Linked DNA regions of Canis lupus familiaris. The protein of the gene in region 1 binds, or shares a complex with, the protein of each later gene. Links are inferred from orthologs where the notes say so. Each region holds a gene or a part of one and is shown on either strand. Other genes may lie near its edges.

Evidence for each region. The genes of interacting proteins can lie anywhere in the genome.
Region 2: the proteins of NUP58 (region 1) and NUP54 are in contact, whole or in part, in a crystal structure (PDB 4JO7), measured with the Homo sapiens proteins. The link is inferred for Canis lupus familiaris from reciprocal best matches to the Homo sapiens genes NUP58 and NUP54. Residues at the interface, in NP_054808.1 of Homo sapiens: Pro342, Tyr345, Phe346, Leu349, Val350, Phe353, Gln356, Leu357, Tyr360, Gln363, Ile364, Leu367, Leu371, Gln374, Ser378, Ile392, Tyr393, Phe396, Leu399, Ala400, Leu403, Ile406, His407, Val410, Lys414, Tyr417, Tyr420, Arg421; in NP_059122.2 of Homo sapiens: Tyr453, Leu459, Glu462, His466, Leu467, Gln469, Gln470, Gln471, Gly473, Leu474, His476, Leu477, Ile478, Ile480, Ile481, Asp484, Leu485, Ile488, Lys489, Leu490, Val491.

Annotation. Positions count from the first base shown.
Region 1 is NC_049246.1:14,201,945-14,205,582, forward strand, and holds part of NUP58 (nucleoporin p58/p45), read right to left. Parts: intron 2,892-3,638; coding exon 2,867-2,891; intron 1,805-2,866; coding exon 1,739-1,804; intron 1,420-1,738; coding exon 1,245-1,419; intron 1-1,244. UniProt on the Homo sapiens protein: Component of the nuclear pore complex, a complex required for the trafficking across the nuclear membrane.
Region 2 is NC_049253.1:39,406,934-39,411,021, reverse strand, and holds the start of NUP54 (nucleoporin p54), read right to left. Parts: upstream 2,804-4,088; 5' UTR 2,685-2,803; coding exon 2,618-2,684; intron 2,005-2,617; coding exon 1,843-2,004; intron 1-1,842. UniProt on the Homo sapiens protein: Component of the nuclear pore complex, a complex required for the trafficking across the nuclear membrane.

The sequences.
Region 1 (3,638 bases):
TTCATTTATGAAGAGCATAGCACTCTCATAAGCCCATGTTTTAAAAAGGCATATATCATAGAAGTGCCTAGGTGGCACAGTTCGTTAAGTGCCCAACTCTTGGTTTTGGCTCAGGTCAAGACCTCAGAGTCAAGACAAAGAGCCCTGCATTGGGCTCCCTGCTGAGTGTGGAGTCTGCTGGAGATTCTCTCTCTGTCTCCCTCTGCCTCTGCCTCTTCTCTCCCACTGGTGCTATCTCTCTCTCTCTCTCTAAAATAAACAAATATATCTTTAATAAGGTATATCACAGGGACTCCTGGGTGGCTCAGTGGTTAAGTGTCTGCCTTCAGCTCAGGGTGTGATCCTGGAGTCCTGGGATCAAGTCCCACATCCGGCTCCCTGCATGGAACCTGCTTCTCCTTCTGCCTATGTCACTGCCTCTCTCTCTGTGACTCTCATGAATAAATAACTAAAACCTTTAAACAAGAAAAAGGTATATCACATAGTTCATTAACAGATGAAGGGAAACTTAAGGAAAGATTTCTAACCTGCCATGATCAGATCAAGTATATTTTATAATTGTGAAACACAAAACAAAAATAAATCTTCTACCATCATTCTTTCCCAACAATGTAGATTAAAACTATATATTATACATATATTATACCATAATGGAAACAAAAAAAAACAGACATAAGTGACAAAAAACATGAGCCTCATTAACATTTTTAACTAAGATCTAATACCAGCAAGTCATCAGAACTTAATATTTATAAAGCACAAAACAGTTTTTATTTAATTGCTGAGAGATTTTAAAAACCTCTTTTTCTGCCTAGCTTGTGTAATATAGCAATTTAGCCAACAAGCACTTTTAGGAAGCAAACCAGTTAAGAGCATCAACTCTAGAGCTGGATTACCAGGGTCTGAATCCAAGCTCTTCCATTTACTAACAAAGTTCTCTGCCCATTTTCTTATTTATATAACAAAGAAAAGAGTGCCTACTTCATAGAGCTGTTTTCAGGACAGCTATTAGTCTATTAACTGGACTAATAAATATAAATTGTTTAAAATACTGCCTCATAAATAGTAAGCACTCAATACAAACCAGTAACTATTACTATTACAGCAACTTAAAACTACACAAGCTATACAGTTTTCTTACAGCATTATCTGTATTGTCTTATAATTGACAAAAGACTGATTTCCACTTGAATAAAACAAAACAAAATGAAACTCTATGATAAAATTATTCTAAGTTAGTTTACCTGAGCAGTTTCTATTTTCAACTTGTCAATATTGAGGGTGTTTCTCTGTAATCCACTGGCAGCCAGTGACAGAAGCTGCTTCAGAGCTTTAATATCTTCTTGTACTTTAAGCATGGCTTTTGAAGACATTCTACTAATTTCTTCTTGTACCTGTTTTTGCTCCTTCACAAATTTCCTAAAAAGATACATAAAATTGAACTTTAAGAAAAAAATACACCATTGGTTTCCCACAGGAAAAAAGTACATTTATGATAGGTTGGTCAGAGTCCTAGTGTTTCAGAAGGAAATATTAAAAATCCATCTACGGTTCACATGCTTTTTTCAGAATGACAGTAACAAAATTTTAATTCCTGTTATTCTGTTTTCTCTTGAGTTTATAGGAATATTGAAATTTTTATCCAACTTAAAATATTTAAGAGGAAGAAGCGATTTTCCCCCTAAAATATATTCTACTATTCTTCAATATGACTTATCTAATTATATTTCACACTTACTGGAGATTTTCAACATCCTGGCAGATGACAGGAGGTAGATTTTCATCCTTCAGTGCTTTACTATCCCTAAGAAAAAAGCCACAGATGTATTAAAGGCATTAACAGTATAAAAAGCTGACAGCTGAGTTTCACTAGAGCATATGTTGAAAAGAAAATAAAGCAAATATTCCCCATGTATAGCTTTCTTAGGTGATTTCAAAGCTCTTTATTAGAAAACCCTCTATTTCCTGACCTTTAAAATAACTTTAACAATTCATCTGAGAGGGAGATGTTTTTCTAAAAGACTGGCATCTATCACAAGTACACATAAATGCATCTGACCAAATGTTTAAGGAAAAACTTAGAAAATACAGCACATTAGACTAATATTGAACTAAGTTCCCCCATCTCAAAAATTCTATGACTGACATATTTAGTTAAAAAAATCAAAGCATTCATTAAAGAAGGTCTATAAAATTTCTTGTAACAAGATGCTCACTATATTTTACTTTATTTTAATAAATTCAATTTGTTCAACAAAATGAAACCTAGGAATAGCTTAACAGAATCATAAATATTTAATGAGATAGGAATAAGTGAAACTTGACATGTTGTAATGTAATTATGAAATAAATTTCAGTCACAGATTTGCTACTTGGCAAACCTCAGTCTCTTCCAGCTTCCTCATTCATATAATAGAGTTAAACAAGTTGTTTTGGAGGTATGAACTGGATCATTTATTTATATATGTTGTATTTAATGTAATATAAATTAGGTGAGAAAATATAAGTAGTAGTAAAAATAGTGATCTTTACACATATGATGTATATGGAGGCTTTTTCTCCATCATCAGAAAATAAATGGTACTAGTATAGTTATTTATAAAAGGTATATATATGTAAAATTAGGTAGAAAACATTCTAGAAAGAACTGGTTATAAATTTTCCTAACGATTAAAAACTACAGATTTAACCTTCCAAAATCTTTCCAGAGCTTATGTTTATTTTAGTTTAGACAAAAACTGATTCAAATATTTTTTCTTCTAAATGACTATAAAGTTTCATTTACTTACAACCATACCATTTGCCTATAATTTAATATATAAAATTCTTCAATGAAAATGTTTTAAAAGTTAAATTGTAAACTTACTCTGGTCTTGTTCCTGTTTTATCACCTAGAAAATTTAAGAAGTTTCATGTAAAAACAGGTCATTTAACAATGTACTCCCAATTCAAGTTTTAATTTAATACAAACTAAGGTATAAATATAAAAACTGCTAAGTATTTCTTAGACTGCCTCTTACATATATGTGAGGTCATGATGTCATGGAGATATGTTTGTGTACATATAGATAATTACATAGCTGATTTGTATCTATTTCTTTCAAGGGCAAGAATCTTCCTCTTTCAACTCTCTGATGAAAAATATTCTTGTGTAGCGCAGTTTAACTGTTCAGAGTGAGGTTCTCTATCAGTTTAGAACACTAAAAGATGTCAGATTACTGGATGTCTCTAAATATTTAACAAAAGCAATTTTTTTAAAGTTGAAGTTTTTAATGTGTGTAGATATATCAACTTTCTAACATCTGTTTAATAGTTCATTAATAGTATATATCTAAAAGTAGAAAAGTAAAAATGCTCCATCAGCAAAATGCAGTGATTCACTTTCTGCTTTTCAAAAATGTATTTCATGTTACAAAATAAAACCTGCTTAATTAAGAAAATACAGGAACACACAAAATTTCATCCCACCAGAAAATTTCAATGATCCTCTTACAACCTATTTCTGCACTTATACACACATTTTTTTTAAGATTTTATTTATTTATTCATGAGAGACACAGAAAGAGAGGCAGAGACATAGGCAGAGGGAGAAGCAGACTCCCTGTGGGGGGCCCAATGCAGGACTCAATCCCAGGACC
Region 2 (4,088 bases), on another chromosome or scaffold:
GAATAAATAAATAAATCTTAAAAAAAAAAAAAAAAAGTCTGAACCATTAGTGCTGCATTATGCCACAGTTTTTCACAATTCTAACTTCTAATTTCCTATATTTCTAGTTTAAGAGATAGATTCATGTTACATAAAGGATATAAGAAAGAAAAAACCTCAACCTTTTGATATTCACCATATAATTTTGATTTGGAAAATTACTCAAGAATAGACTGCATACTGTAGACATAACCAAATAGGCTATTTTCTTGTAGGTTCTATTGCAGTACTGCAAACTGTAAACATTTGGACTAAAAAAAAAAAAAAAAATCAACTAAAAGTATAAAACACTGCTCTCAATCTTTTTCATTATCTTCCCTTACATAGAATAACTATGATATATTCTGATTTGGCTACACAATATTAGTAGCTTATCATGGTTCCTAATACCAAAAATGTAGTAGTGAATCTGTTAAGATACAAAATAAACAAGACTTTAAAAAAAATAAAAAAAATAAGAATTTCTATCATCCCTTTGCTGAAGGTTCAGTTACTGAACATACATAGAAGTGGTTAAAATACAGTTATATTATCACAACTCAACACTTAACAGTGATAACTCCAAATGAACATGAAATCAAGCAAATACCAATAAGTTTATTTATTGTTGTTGAATTACAAGCTGGGTGGCTTTATTCAGAAACACAAATTTCAAAATACAGCTGTTTTACCCAGTGCCAATTTTAAGCAAACGGAAAAATAAATGTGCATGACAGTAAATGACAGTGATACACGATCACTTTAAATATACCTTAACGACAAGGACTGTTTTATCTTTGGAATTCAAACGTATTCTTCAAAACATTTCAAATCAGATGCCGAGGTGATATTCGTACTGCTCTAACAAATACTGCACAAATACCAGACTTTCCAAATAAATTTTAGGGAATAAATAATGTTTACAAAATGCATATAATTGGCATGGGTATAAGTGGCATAATGCAAGAGAATATGGACAATATATTCATATACGAGCAGCAGAGGAACAAGACTTTTCTATAGGATAACTATGTAAAATACACAGACCTATTTTAAATTTATATATACATATAAACACATTATAGTCTGTGCTTTGCAAATTTCCAATGAGCTTCAATCCATATAGGTACTAAAATCTTCATCATTATTTAATACAAATATGTCTAGCCTACCTACTAGCCTCCATGCTATCTGACAAATTAAACTGCTCTACTTATTTCTCAAAAAAATCCTGTAAAAAACCAAGACTCTTTAAAATTACATATCTTACAGAAATGCATCCTAATCTGCCGAGTGGACCAAAGGAATACATTGTTGTTGCTAAACACATTTTAAAAATACAGGATGTTGCTGTTCGTATAAGACTTGTTTCTCTTGGGAAACACAAAGACAGTCGAATGAAATTGCAATGAAAGATGCAGGAAAGATGGGGGAAAAAAAAAAAAAAATGACTGCAGGAGTCCAAGAATCCCAGAGAAAAGAGCCTGACTGGTGAGTTTCTGTTTTGTAAGAGATAAGATAAACAATTTGGAAAACATATTCTACTTCAAATAATCCGTTCCAGATTCTTACCACTTGGAAGGTATATTCTGTCGGATCGAATGCAAGTTCAACAAAGGAACATCACAACTTGCAAGGCTTCTAAAAACCAAATCTTTTAAGACAGTCGGAGCTAGATGCAAACGTTTTTGATTCGACTCTAGGGAATGAATGAACGTCCTTTCCCCTTTAGGCATGTCGCTGCTCTTCCGAAAACTCGGAGCTGCGAAATATTCTTGGACTCCGGCTCCCAACATCGTCACACGTACGACCCGCAGTATCTACCTGCACTTGCCAGACTGTTACCAAAATTGAACGGAGTCGCCGAGGTAGTAGAAACACCGAAATTCCCAATATTAAAGTTCACTGCAGGATTAGCAGTTAATCCGAAACCCCCAAAATTAAACCCACTGGCGGTGGAGTTGGCAGTCTCAAGCCCACCAAATCCTGATCGGCGTGTAGGCACAGAAACAAAATTTTAAAACGGGGGAGGGGGGAGAAAAAGAAAAGAGAAAAGAAAAGAAAAGGAAAAGAAAGCAAGACAAGGGTTAGAAGAGTCAGCAGGTCTCACAGAAGCGAACGAGGACAAACCTCGACTTAGCTCCAGCGGGTTAAGAAAGCGGAGGTGGAGGCGGGGACGGGAGGGAGGAGCCCGAGCGCGAGGTCCCGCAGCCCCGACCCAAGGGCCCGCCCCGAGCGGCCGCCGCGCAGCCCCGACCCGCCAGCCCCAACCGGACCTCGGGGCCCCGGGGGCTCGGGCGGGGAGAGCCGGGCCGCCGTCCGGCAGCGGGAGCGCGGAGCCGCCGTCTGGCCTCCGGAGGGCCCCCGGCGGCGGGAAGCGGACCCCGGGAGGGCGACGCTGTGCGGGGAGCCACGGGCTGGGCCTCGGAACCCCCGCGGCCTCCTCAGGAGCCGCCCGGGCCCGCTCAGCCGCGGCCCCTGGCCCGGAGCCCCCGGAGTCCCCAAGCAGCCAGGACACCCCCAGGGTCTCCGGGCCGCACAGGCTCGGGCCGGGGGGCTGCACCGGGGGCCGCCCCTCCTTCCCGGGAGGACCACTCACCCGCGGGGGCCGCGGGGGCCGCGGCGGTGCCAGAGGTGCCCGAGGGAGCCCCGAAGTTGAAGGCCATGTCGCGCGAGCAGGGGACGCAGGCGCCGCCCCCACGACCCTCGGTGCGCGCCGCTCTTCAGTCCCGCCGAGAGCCGCCTCCGGCTCACCGAGTTCCGGCCCTTTTCTGGCCGCGCCTCGGAAGCCCGAACGCCGGAAGCGCAGGGGCGGGGCCTGGCGGGAGCGCGCCGGGTCCGCCCGCTTCCGGGGCCTGAGCGCGTCCCGCGGCGCAGGGCGTGACGTCGCGGCGGTGCCGCGGGCCCCGGGCTCAGCGCCTCAGGGAGGGCCCGGGCGGAGGCGGGCTCCGCTGCTGACGGGCGTGTGGCGGGGACCGGGCGGGAGGCCGCGATCCCCGTCTCCGCAGCGCGGAGCCCACTGTCACGCCGGAGCTCACGAGGACCCCGAAGCGGCCTCTTTCCCGTGTTCTACCGCCCCGAGTCGTCTGGGAGTCGGCACGTGGGCAGGGACAGGCCCCACCGTGCGCGCCCTCCTCCGCCAGCGGCGGCCTCGGGGCAGCGGGTGCCGAGGAGCGGACTCCAGCCCCGGACTGCGGTGAGTCGGGTGGCCCCTCTGCTTGGACTGTCTTGGCTTTTTGCGTCTTGCAGGCCGGGCGTGCATCTCAGTGACGACTTGACGTGGGATCCCTGCGGGGCAGCGGTTGGGCGCGACCCTGGAGACCCGGGATCCAGTCCCAGTCGGGCTCCCTGCGTGGAGCCTGCTTCTCCCTCTGCCTGTGTCTCTGCCTCTCTCTCTGTCTCTCTCTGTGTGTGACTATCATAAATAAATAAAAATTAATAAATAAAAATTTAAAAAAAAGACTTGACGTTCCGCTCCGAGGTGGAAGGACGCCCCGACCCCGCTGAAGGCCTCCAAGCGTCTCCCTGACGCCGGCTCCTCTTCCGGGCAGTACTGGCCTAGCATTTTTCCTATTCTTGTTTATAAATGCATTTTTTTTGTTTTTAAGACACGCACAGGTGTATTTGAAATTGATTTTTTGACTGTACGGTACTGAAAATTTTCTCGAGATGATGGAAGATGTCGACACTGGCATCTGCGATCCATGCCCAAGTGTTGATCTCTCTGCACCGTCCTCCTAAGGACAAGGGCGGTAACGAGCTAGAAACCAGCAGGGGAAGGTGTTTATCTCCTGCTCTCTCAAATGAGTCGTATTAATAATCATTATTGCAAGAAATAATAATAATCATCATTATTGCAAAATAATGTAACGATAATTTATTAATAATAAAGTAATAATGATTTTCAAAAAGAATTTATTGTTGATATCTCAGAATAAATGCTGCATCACATTGATTTTTTTGCAGACTTTCGCCTGCAGTATTTTGTAATTTGGACACTTCACCTCTCGTGAGAGAAAAGACATCCCACTGTTGTACATCAATCATTGAAAAGAAAAGGAATACACGAA